3 linked regions of the Canis lupus familiaris genome follow. The protein of the gene in region 2 interacts with the protein of the main gene of each other region in a biochemical or structural test. Links are inferred from orthologs where the notes say so. Each region holds a gene or a part of one and is shown on either strand. Other genes may lie near its edges. The genes, in order: FGF8, FGFR1 and FGF6.

Evidence for each region.
Region 1: the proteins of FGFR1 (region 2) and FGF8 interact in a biophysical measurement, tested with the Homo sapiens proteins (2 studies listed by BioGRID and IntAct, with this or other methods). The link is inferred for Canis lupus familiaris from reciprocal best matches to the Homo sapiens genes FGFR1 and FGF8.
Region 3: the proteins of FGFR1 (region 2) and FGF6 interact in a biophysical measurement, tested with the Homo sapiens proteins (2 studies listed by BioGRID and IntAct, with this or other methods). The link is inferred for Canis lupus familiaris from reciprocal best matches to the Homo sapiens genes FGFR1 and FGF6.

Annotation. Positions count from the first base shown.
Region 1 is NC_049249.1:14,551,774-14,555,514, forward strand, and holds the start of FGF8 (fibroblast growth factor 8), read right to left. Parts: upstream 2,663-3,741; coding exon 2,631-2,662; intron 2,530-2,630; coding exon 2,493-2,529; intron 1,626-2,492; coding exon 1,445-1,625; intron 1-1,444. UniProt on the Homo sapiens protein: Plays an important role in the regulation of embryonic development, cell proliferation, cell differentiation and cell migration. Required for normal brain, eye, ear and limb development during embryogenesis.
Region 2 is NC_049237.1:27,766,359-27,770,099, reverse strand, and holds the start of FGFR1 (fibroblast growth factor receptor 1), read right to left. Parts: upstream 2,475-3,741; 5' UTR 2,386-2,474; intron 2,021-2,385; exon of another isoform or gene 2,003-2,020; intron 2,002-2,002; exon of another isoform or gene 1,892-2,001; intron 778-1,891; exon of another isoform or gene 544-777; intron 1-543. UniProt on the Homo sapiens protein: Tyrosine-protein kinase that acts as a cell-surface receptor for fibroblast growth factors and plays an essential role in the regulation of embryonic development, cell proliferation, differentiation and migration.
Region 3 is NC_049248.1:5,649,439-5,653,179, forward strand, and holds the start of FGF6 (fibroblast growth factor 6), read right to left. Parts: upstream 2,700-3,741; 5' UTR 2,472-2,699; coding exon 2,126-2,471; intron 1,174-2,125; coding exon 1,070-1,173; intron 1-1,069. UniProt on the Homo sapiens protein: Plays an important role in the regulation of cell proliferation, cell differentiation, angiogenesis and myogenesis, and is required for normal muscle regeneration.

The sequences.
Region 1 (3,741 bases), on a different chromosome or scaffold from region 2:
AGAAGCTAAGCATCCGTTCCCTTTCCTTGGAAGCTGGGAAGGGCAGCAAGCAGCCGGTCTGGAGGGACAAAGGGACGGCAGGCTGGCCCTGCCAGCCCAGCAGGGGACCTCGGCCACCGGGCAGGCCGCCCCCCACCCCCACCCCAGAGAGCCCCCAATCCCCTTCCTGGTGGATCTGGGGAGCTGGGGCCGCAGTTTACAGCGGCTTTCCCGACAGGGCTTTTGGAAAGCTTAACATTTTCAAACCTATTCTTCCACCCCAGTGACAGATTTATCCCGGGAAAATTATGTCTCCTTCTCCAGCTTTGAAGGGAAGTCAGCTACGTCGATGCAGAAAAAATGCAGTGAGACATACTCGATCCCCCAAACTGGCTCGAGAAGAGGAGAAAGTATTCAGGAAATGTTAAAAAAGGTGAAAGTAAGAAGAGTTTTAATCGCTCTGCCAGACGCGGGGGTCTCTCCAGAGATTCATAGAGAACAATCTTGAACCTCTTTTTTAACATTTACAGACTTGCAACTCCTTTCAAACTCCACATCTGAAAAAAGGCTCGTTCTTTTTCTGTTTTATATCATTCTTCATTTTTCTTCTTAGCTCTTAAAATGCCTCACCTTTTTATTACATTTTAATAGAGTCTTCCCCTCTCCTTTCATGGTTGTTTAACTTGGTCATTATTTAAAGGTTTTTAAACTCACAATAATCGCTCTCTAAAAACAACACCAGCCGCCCAGAGGGCTTGCTTTTTCTCTTGGTACATCCAGGACTCTGGAAATTGGCCTTGTTTCAAGGCAGGAATATTGAATGTTTTAGAAATCAATCAGTCCTCCGCCTCTCTGCCCGCGGTAGCTCCCTGGACTCAGCACCCCGCAGGAGCCTGGCGCCCCGCTCCGACCACCACCTAGGTTCCTGGGTCAGTGGAGTGGAGACACCTTTCCCAGCCAAGTCCCTATGTGCGGCTGGCCCTTCTGATCAAAATACTTAAAGGTTCATGGCACCCCCTGTCCAAGCTGGAAAGGTTGGGGCAATTTTTCTCTCTTCTCCTTCCTAGCTCTCTCCTTTTGTGGACCCTGGCGACATATCCTCTTTCAAGAGCTTCCCTTAAACCTGGGGCCCCTCCCGCAGACCCCCTGTCTCCACCTGCAGCTGGGGAGGGGTGTGTGAATGGGGGAGGTGGAAAGGGAGACTCCTGGATTCATTCATCTGCTGGGCAGGGAAGGGGCACCTGTGGGCCAAGTACTCCCCAAGGTCCCTTCCCCAGCCCTCTTCTCTCCAGCTGACCCCCACCAGGCTTCTTTGCCTTAACTCCTTCCCTTCTGAGCTGGGGAGCCTGGAGAGGCCTCTGGCCAGCACAGATGGGGCCTGCAGGTCCCATCAAAGCAGGCCAGCCAGGGGAAGGGGGCATGTTCCACAAGCTACCTCTACCCTGCCGGGCGCAGCTCGCCTTACCGAAGGGGTCCCCGTCTTCTGCCATGGCGTTGATGCGCTTGTTGGCCAGGACCTGCACGTGCTTCCCGCTGGTGCGGCTGTAGAGCTGGTAGGTCCGGATGAGGCGGCGACTGAGCTGATCCGTCACCAGGCTCTGCTCCCTCACATGCTGTGTAAAATTAGGTGAGGACTGAACAGTTACCTTTAGGAAATTGAAAAATACACAACACGCCATTATAATGCTACTCTGCCCAGGGGCCCCCAGCGGCCCCCATCGCCCTGCACGCACCTCCACTGCCCCAGACAGCCAGCAGGGGCTGCGGTGTCCCCCCAACCTGCCAGCTCAGGCCACAACACCCAAGCCAGGAAAGTCAGGCAGACCCAGCCTAGCAAGGATGAGCCCAGAACGATCTGGACCTACCTGTTGCGAAGCCCCCTGGGACCCCCAGCCGGCCGGGATCAGGGAACCAAGCTCCCTGCCCGGCGGCGGCCCGCACCCCCACCCCACCCCCGGCGCCCACACGCCTTCCTAGAAAAGCAGGGCGCTCGTTAGTAGGGAGGCAGCGCTGCCCAATCCCTGACATTTATAAAGACAAATTTGCGGAGCAAATGTTCCGAGCGCAGAGAGCCTAGGCACCTGATCTTTCGGCCAGACCCGCCACAAGTCTCCCCCGAGAGCCGAGCCGCGGAGAGAGTCCCTGCAGCAGTCACCGGGACTTGTGACAACGAACGCTCCGGGACCCCGCTCGCACCCCTTCCCCGGCAGCCACATGTGGGTGCTCCTAGAGCTCCCCATCCACTCCCAACCCGGCCAGGCTGCGTGGGAGACAGCGCTGGAGCCCGAAAGCCCGCGTTCGAGCCTCGCCGCACACCAGCTGTGTGACCTTAGGCAGGGCGCTCCCTCTCTGTTCCCTAACTCCCTCCTAGGGGAATCGGGGCTGGATCCCGAGGGATCCTCCCAGCCCCGCCGCGCCGGCCGCAGGGTCGGTCCTCGGGCCCCCGCCCGACCTCGCCAACCCGCGGCCCCCGCCGGCCCGCCCGGGCCCCGCCGCCGCGCAGTGCGCCTTACCTGGGCTTGGAGGCAGAGGACCAGCAAGTGCAACAGCCTGTGGGAGACAAAAGCGGGCGGGAGAGAGAGGGCGCGGGTGAGCGGAGAGGGCGCGGCGGCGGGGCCGGGCGGGGACGCGGGGGCGGCGGCCGTACTCACAGGCAGCTCAGCGCCGAGCGGGGGCTGCCCATGGCGCGCGGCCCGGGGAGCACCGAGAGCCCGGCGGGATCACGCCGGCCCGCGGGCGGCCGCTAGGGATGAGCCGAGGGCGGCGGCGGCCGAGGACGGCTGGAGCACGGGGGGGCGGGCGGCGGGCCGGACGCGGCTCCGCGGGTCCCGTGGAATGTCGAGCTCGCCGCGCCGAGTGGCTCTGCGCCGCTGCCGGAGCCGGTGGCCGCTGGCTGCTCAGGAGCCGGAGCGGGCGGGAGGGTAACGGGCCGGCAGGGTGGGTGGGTAGGTGGGAAGGGAGGGGGAGGGGTGGGGGCGGGGGGCGCCGCACCGGGCGCGAGGGGGGAGCGCGGGGCGGGCGGCCGGAGCCCGCAGCCCCCGGCTGGGAGCTGGGGCCGGGACGCAGCCCGGGGCGGGGGCGGGGCGGGCCGGGGCGGGGCGGCCCGCGGGTCTGGGATTGGGGGGTCTGGGCTAGGGGAGGGGTCTGGGGACCGCGGGGGGGGCGGGGGGCGGCCAGTGGGGGCGCCTCCCCCCATCCCCGGGCTGACCCCTCGCGCGCTCTAGGGGTCTGGACCCGCGGGGATGGGGGGCGGCTCGGGCTGGGGCTTCCTGGCCCGCGGGGTGCGCGGGGTGCGCAGGCTGGGCGGCGGGTGCGTGAGCCACCTACTGTGTGCTTCAGCCGTGCATGCCCCCGGAGGCGGCCGCCAACGCGAGAGTGAGTGGCTGTGCGGCTCCCCGGCGGCCCGGCAGTGAGTGCGTCTGCGACCCGGACCGACCCCGACCTTTCTGCCGAATAACCCTTCTCGCGGGTCTCTCCTGTCTCACTCCGTCTCCAAGAAGACCCTAAGAGCGAGAAATGTCCCCTCCATTATCAGCATCACCCCTGCCTCCGTCCCACACGCTAGCCTGAAGCCTGAGAGGAACCAGGAGCACCTATGTGGGGGAGCCTAGAGGTCCCTGGCAGGCCCCGTGGTCGCTGCGGCCCTCCCAAAGCTGCAGCAGAGGGGGCCGAAAGATCTGTCAGCTGCTTTTCCTGGAGAAGAGACTTAGATCCAGGCCGCCTAGTCTTTCCCTCTCAGAGTCTCATTGCTTGTGCACTTTG
Region 2 (3,741 bases):
CATCAGGGCAGGGCAGGCCAAAGGCAATGGGTCTCCCCTTTGGTCACTGAAAGGAAGGGAGATGACCCAGGCTTGGGGGTAATTAGCTAGACAGAGGCTCGTCCCCCGGGGGCCCTGCTACTTAGTTTTTAAAGCCTCAGAGATGGAACCGGGGACCTGGGCCAAGCAGGAAAAATGGCCACTTTCTGCTAAACAGTCTCAAGGCTAAGATTCTACGGTTTAGACGGTATTCCAAAAAAAGCTCTGGTCCGGAGGTGCAAAGGGCAGGGCACATCTGCGGAGGAAACAGTCACCTTAATTACCATGTCTAGAGAAAGTGCGATTTCATTACAGCCTCCAAAACTACCGCCCAAAGGAGGAAACCAGAGAAGTGTTTTCAATTTGAAAGAGACTGGTAAAGAGAGGGTGAGAGGGACCGGCTCTCCCCGCCCTCGCGCAACTTGGACCATAAGGTGCCTTCCTACCTCAAAGGATATAACCAAAACACAAAAACCGAAAACAAACCCACAAGAACCCCCAACGATGCAATGCCCGCTTTCAAACCTGGAGCCGTTAAGAAGCAGATTGTCCCACGTTAGCTTCCAGGGGCCGCGGCCCACTAACTCCCTTCAAACGCACAGGGAGAGCCCCCGGCGGCAAGAGCATCCGCGCCCCTCGCGCGTCCCCCGCAGCTGCGCCCCGGCTCGCTCGGGGAGGGTGGAAAGGCGAGCAGGAGGCCACCAGCGGGTGGCCAGAGACCCGACGGCGACTCCGGGCCGGGCCGGGCCAGACGCTCCGGCGGCTACAGCGACAACCCAAGGGGCGGAAAAAGCAATGCTCTGGTTCCAGAAACTTCCATCAGAGCCAGTTCTGGGTCAAATCACAACCCACGAGGCCACCTCCAGCACATGCCCCGTTCGCCAAGTGCCAACCCCCCTAGAGCCCCCCCCCTCCCCCCCCGGCCCCATCTCCTACGATGCCTTCTTCCGGCACTATCGAGAGAGCGCCGCCACCCTCAGATCCTAAATAACTTGGGACCCAGGGTAACTTTCTTTTCTCCGCAAATCCCAACGCCTCAACTTCAGTCTCAAAAAATGTTGAGGGAGGGAGGTGGTAAGGACAAGTGGAAGGATCCCAGTTTTAATGTGGGTGAGGGGGAAGGGAGGGAAATGTTAATGGGGCTGCGGTGTGGGGTGAAACGAAACCAGATGCGGCGGCTACATCTGGAAAATGGGGGGAAAAAGTGTTAGGGGAGGAAGATACCGCAGAAATTTTTTTTTTTTTTCTGGGCCCAGAAAGGAGAAGGAAGCTTCACCACCACCCCCGCCACCCCCGCCCGAGGGGGTCTGGCTGCCTTCATAGGTTATGTGCTCAACGAACTCCATCCATCCGCAATGTCAATAAATTTCTCTGCAAACGAGGGTTCCTCTGTTCCCAACCCCACACATAACGGGAGGCGGGAGCGGGGTGGGCAGAGGGTCTGAGCCAGAGAAGCAACATGCAGCGCGGCCGAGTGCACCGCACCGGCCAAACCCTCATCCCTTCCCCCACCTCCTCGAACCAGCTTGGAACCGAACGTTCCCCTCCCCCCCCGCGACCCCATAATGGGGCTTAACATCACCCGCTGGGCGCCCTCCCTTCCACAAACTTCCGACCCTTTCTGAGATCCACTCAGTAGAAGATAACCCCCTCTGGAAAAGGGAATTCCTTTCTCGCTCTCTGCAATAGCAGATTCAGCCATTTGGTGACGACACCTCCTTAAAACCTATTCCAGGAGAAGCTAACCTACCCCTCCTCTTCCTTCCCCCTTCTCGGCCCTCTCCGCCCACCCCCAAGCGCGACCCCAGACTTCCCTCGAGGTGGAGGAAGACTTAGAAAGACCCCGGGGCTTTAGCGTCCCACGCACAGCTACCTGCTGGATTGGGGGGAGTCCCCACTGGCGGACTAGAAGGAGATGGGCCGGAATGCAGCACACACACGCACACGCAGTCCCCCCACCGCTGCCCGCTCGCGCCCTCCCCACCTCGGTCCGAGGACACCGCGGGCCGCCGCCGCCCTCGCCCTCGCCCTCGCCCTCGCCCGGGCCGGGTCGCTCCCAGGACTCGCCGCCGCCGCCGCCTCGCCAGCTCCCCGGCGCGAGTTGGCGGAAAAGTTGGGCGGCAGGAGGAGCTGCGGGACGAGCGCGGGGAGGGGGCGCAGGAGGCGACGCGAGCCGGGAGGGGAGACAAAAGGGGGGCGCGGAGCGCCGGGGAGGGGGTCGGGAGGCGCAGGCAGCGGGTAACGACCGGAGGGAGGCGCCGGACTCGCCCGGGCTGCGGCGGGGAAGCACGCAGCCGGGAGGCTCCAGCGCCGGGGGCCGCTCGGACGCCAAGCCCGCCCCGGATCTGCGGGCGCCGCGGCTCTTACCTCACTCGGCGCTGCGGTTCCGCCGCTGGAGAGTCCGCCGTGGCTCGGGCGGGCGGGCGGGCGCCCGCGGCCCCGGCTCCGGCCCGCCGCCCCCGGGCTCCGCTCGGGTCCTGGCGGAGCCGCGAGAGCCCCGCGGCCGGCGCTCGAGGCTCAGCGCCTCCGGCCCGGGCGGGAACAATGGAGCCGAGGCTGGTGCCCCGGAGGCGGGGCGGGGGGAGGGCTCCCGTCCGCCGCCCGGGGTCTCCAGACCCTGCGGCCCCCTCTCCAGAACCGGGCGGCGGCGCCTCACGCTTCTCGCAGCCCGGGCTCCATCGCCCGGCGGGGGCCCCGGCCCCGCGGCGCGCCCGACTGCAGCCCTGGGACTGTGCGCCCCTCGCACCGGCGGAAAGTCCTGGGTTTCCGCGGCTTTTCCAGCTGCGGCGCGCGCTCGCGGCCGGGGAAGGCGAGGTCGCCGCAATGCGCTAAGCGGAGTCGGGTCGGGTCGGGTCGGGACGCCGCCGCCCGGCTTCGGGCACGGCCCGGGCTCCCCGGCCGCAGCGCGCCGGACCGGACTCCGGGCTCCCGCTCGCCGCCCGCCGCCCGCCGCCCGCCGCCCAGGCCGCCGCACCAGTGCCCGCAGGAGCGCTCCGAGCGCTGTGCGCCGGCGAGGCGCGAGGGCTCGCGCTCACTCCCACCCGCGCTAGTCCCACCCCCGCCTCCTCCCCCTGCTGCTGCCTGCTGGGCCTTGTAGTTCCAGCCGCGGCCCCCGACCGCGGGGAGCGGGCTCGGCGGCGCGGCGCTCGGCGGCAGCTTCCCCGCAGTCTGAGTCCGGGGCGCGCGGGCCTGGCCTCGGAGCCCCGCCCGCTGGGCGCCCGGGGTCCAGGCGGCGGACACAGGAGCGGGGGGCGGAGGGGGGAGGGGGGGGAGGGGGGGCGACGCCGTGGTCCCGAGGGTGTCCCTGCCAGCACCGGCCTTGGAGTCGCACTGACTGCGTGCCTTGGGGAAATGACTCTTCTCGCTCCGAATCTCAGTTTTCTCATCTCATCTAAAAGGGGGGATAATAGCGCTTTTCATTAGAGTTGAGGATGAAGAGAGGGCCTGCCACATAGTTAACAGTCAATAAATACAAGCTGTATTTTATCCGTGAGAAGGTCTACGCCCCCTTCGGACCCTTCCCTCCCATCTCACGGTTCCCAGCCACAGAGTTTAGGTTTTTGTGGTTTACCGGGAAGCGGAGGTTGGGGGGGGGGGGGGGGGTGCGGGCTACGAATGCTGCAGCACCATTCTGGGCCTCCAGAAGTCTTCAACCTGCAGTGAATTTTAGGAAGCAAAGAGTGAGTGGTGGGAATCGGGCATGTTATTGGTTTGGAAATTAAT
Region 3 (3,741 bases), on a different chromosome or scaffold from region 2:
CAGCTATTTCCTCTTCAGATGCCCACTTTTAACCCATGCCTTGTCTCCATGCAAACCAACCCAGATTTAGTGTCAGCACTAAAGATTACAGGGAAGAAGCTATCTGAGTACCCCCTTTGGGTATGTAGCAGACCCCTCGGCCTCCCGGAACCTGGCACCAATCCTAGATCTCTCCTCATTTCCTGATGCTCAGTCTGTGTCCAAGGAGAAGTAGAACAGCACTCCACGCCCTTCCCATAAATAACTCTGGTATTCCTTAATAATTGTTCAGAGGTCTACCTTTTTTAGCCTTCTTATTTCTGTCAAAGAACTCCCAGTTTCTTCAACTTCATAGGGATGTTTTCCCAGTCCCTATCTTGGAATAAGCTGAATCATAGGAGGAGAGCCCCAGGACTACTGGGTGTCAAAGAGAGCAGAGATTTTGGTAAATATGCTTAGGGGTTGGCTGCGTTTACAAAAGAGCTTGAATTTGCCCTCCCCTGGGTGATCTGTGTGGGGGAGGGAGCTGGAGGTGAGGTGCCAGCCCAGAGGGTGGAATAGGAGGATGCTTCTCCAGCCTATGGGAGCAGAGGTCAGAGGACTTAAAATCTTAAAGTAAAATTTCAATACACCAGTGAAGGTGGGGAAGAGAGTCTCCATTTCTCCTCTTCCTGCACTCTAGGTGGGAAGGTACCTCTCTGAGGTGGGTCATGGGACAGAGCACCCCAGGCTGAGAGACAGGCTGGTTCCTCTGGGCCTCTCCAGTTCGGGGAATCAAACCTGACCATAAGCCCAGATGACTGCTTCATGTCAGGGTGCAGGTCTCCTTCAGAACCAGTAGCCTCCTGAGCTCTGATTCCCATTTAATGACAAAGGACGGAAAGGTCAGGAAAAGCATGGTGCAGAGCAGAAGCCAATCAACTGTGGAGCAAACCAAGCATGAGCTGCCAGGGCTGTCACTGTGATGGACCCTTCCTTCTCATTCTAGACTGATATTCACTTCTCTACTCAAGCTTTTGTAGTATTTTTTCCAACTGTGCAAGCTGTAGCCCTCATACAACCTGGAGATCCCCCAGCCCAATGGACTCACCGTTGTGTATAATCTGCCTTTACTGTTCATGGCAACGAAGAGGGCACTTTTCACTCCAAAGAGACTCACCACACCCCGCTCCACTGTGGAAATCTCCAGCAGGCCTGACAAAGAAAGCAGGGGGCGTTACCCAGGGCTTATGCAGAGCAGAGTGGGATGTTGATCTAGAGGCAATGCCACAAGGGCATCTAAGTCTGTCCTCTGCTCCTAGAAAGCCAGACCCTTATCACCTCTATGCCTGATCTCACTTTGGACTCGGCACGTCCTGTCACTATACTGTCAAAGGTCCAGTTCTGCAAGGAGGGTTCTGACATCAGAGCCAGGGCTTGCAGCATATCTACAGAAGATTAGCTTTCACTGACTTAATCACATGAGGTCCTTGCCTGGAGTAGAAAAAGGAATGCCTATTGGTTTTTTTTAATAAAGGAGATACTCTACATGTTTCAACAAATCTCAGCTCCTCTGAACTTGCAAACACTGCAGCGCATGGAAGCTGATGGCTTGCCTGGATCCTGCAGCCCCCATCCTCTCTTGGGTGGGAGTCTATCTATGCAGCAACCCATCAACTTGTAGGACGAGGAAGCTGGGGAGGTTGGAATAAAAAAGAAAGATGTGTTTCAGCAGGGAAATTTTGCAGATCACTTGCCTTTTCTTCTCAAAGAGGGAAGCTGAGTAAAAATCAGCCTGGGTTTAATCTGGTCCTGCTGCCCTCATTTACTCTCACCACCCTTGCCTTATGGCTTCCCGGCTGATGGTTCCCTGTGGCCTTCTACAGCCACAGGTGTGTGTCTGTAATGCTAATTGGTGCCACTGGGGCTCCAAGGGGTGATGGCAAAGGACACCAGAATGCTTGGACCTCAGCATATTAAGCCTGCAACTAGGCAGGGTCCCAGTGAGTCTGGGAGAGGTGACTATGTTTATGAGCATCCAAGTAGGGAATCACGGTTCTCTCCCCATTATAATAGGAGCCCATGCACCAGAGCAAGTCCCCATCGTCTTTTAGTCTTGCTTGAGCCCAAGCCCCCAGCTTCCCAACTGGCTGCAGCTGGCACTCACTGTAGGGGTTCTCCTCGTGGGTCCCGCTGATCCGGCCGTCGGGGGGCACCTGGAGGTGAAAGCCGATGCCCACGTTGCAGTAGAGCCTCCTCTGCCGCTTGATCCCCACCAAATAGCCACTCTCCCAATTCACCCCGGCAATCTCTCCAGCTAGCCCGGCTCGAGACCTTGACAGCAGAGTGCCCCAGCCCCTGGAGTCCAGCAGTGTGCCGTTGGCGTGGGTACCTGCAGGCAAGGGCACCACCATGCCCACTAGGACGCCTAGGAAGACGAGAGCCCACAGCGTGCCCTGAAGGCGTCCTGCTCCCCGGGACATAGTGATGAACAGCCTCTGTCCCAGGGCCATCCACCTTGCCTCTCAGGCACGTGGTCAGAATTAATGGCCCTAAAAATACCGCCCTTCTTGTTTTTCTCCCCTCAGCATGGCGGCAGGGGCTTATTTTTGGAAGGCAGATGAAGGCTGCTGACATGAAACCAAAGCCTGCTTTGGGCACTCGGGTCGGGAGCAGAGGGACCCAGGCTGAGCCGCGGCTGGTAGGGACCATGGCTTGGGGACTGTTTCTAGCTCGCCCGCTTGCTCCGTCCCAAGTTGATTATATTTGATTTGACCTATCTTTATAGTTCAGCAGCCTGGCCCTCCCCTCCACCCATCATCACCCTGACGTCAACTGGCCCAGCTCATTTATCCAAGGCTGTAACATTAACCTGCTCCTGGGCCTGGCTGCCTCCCCAGACCCCCATCACCCTCCCCACACCTCAGGGATTCTGGGAGCCACTGTCATTCCAGCTATGAGGCAGGAATGAAGGGAGCAGAGAGCATCTCTGAGGGAGGGAGGATTTGGCTGGGAGCCCAGGGGAAGAGGGAGGCAAGAGGCTACCCACAACCCAAACCGGGCAAAAGTTCTTCGCCTGGCAGTGCTGCTGGCTTGCTTATTTAGAGGGCAAAGGGTAAAGACAGTGATAGGGAAACTTTGGTGGTGGGCAATGGTCATGGCCTATGGGCTACCCTAGAGACCTTTTCATGGAAAGAGCTCATGGTGGTTCATGGCAAGGTAGGCTTGGGGGACACTGAAAGCTGAGCCCTTTAAACAGGAGAGAACAGAGATTTGCTGGTGGGAGGTAGGGAGGTGGCCCCAGGAGCTTTGGGATTGTCAAGGAAGAGAGGGCTAGGTCAGGCTTCTGCTTGCTGTTCTGGCTATGACATTCACCCAGTCAATGAGGTGGAAGTTGCACCTGACATAGCCCACTTGCCATTTTTCTACCTGGGCTTGTCCTTGGCATCCAATTGATAGTATTTCCATTTTATAGATAAGCTAAGGTATAGAGAACTTCAGTGACTGGCCTGAGTTACCATAGCTAACAAGTGGCAAAGCCAGAATATCTATAGTTGGCCTGAATCCAAAGCCTGTGCTTTTAACTCCCCCACAGGATTGCCTGTAGTAGAAGATAGATGACCAGGCTGGCCCACAGAGTCTATTGAGCTCATTCTGTGCTAAGAGTACATCATAGAATTATTTCAATGGCCCAAAATGATTCACCTCCCTCCCCATACAGGCTGGCAGTTACAGGAAGCCTGGGGAAAGCTCCCAGGATGAGTGCCACTGCCTAGGGACTCT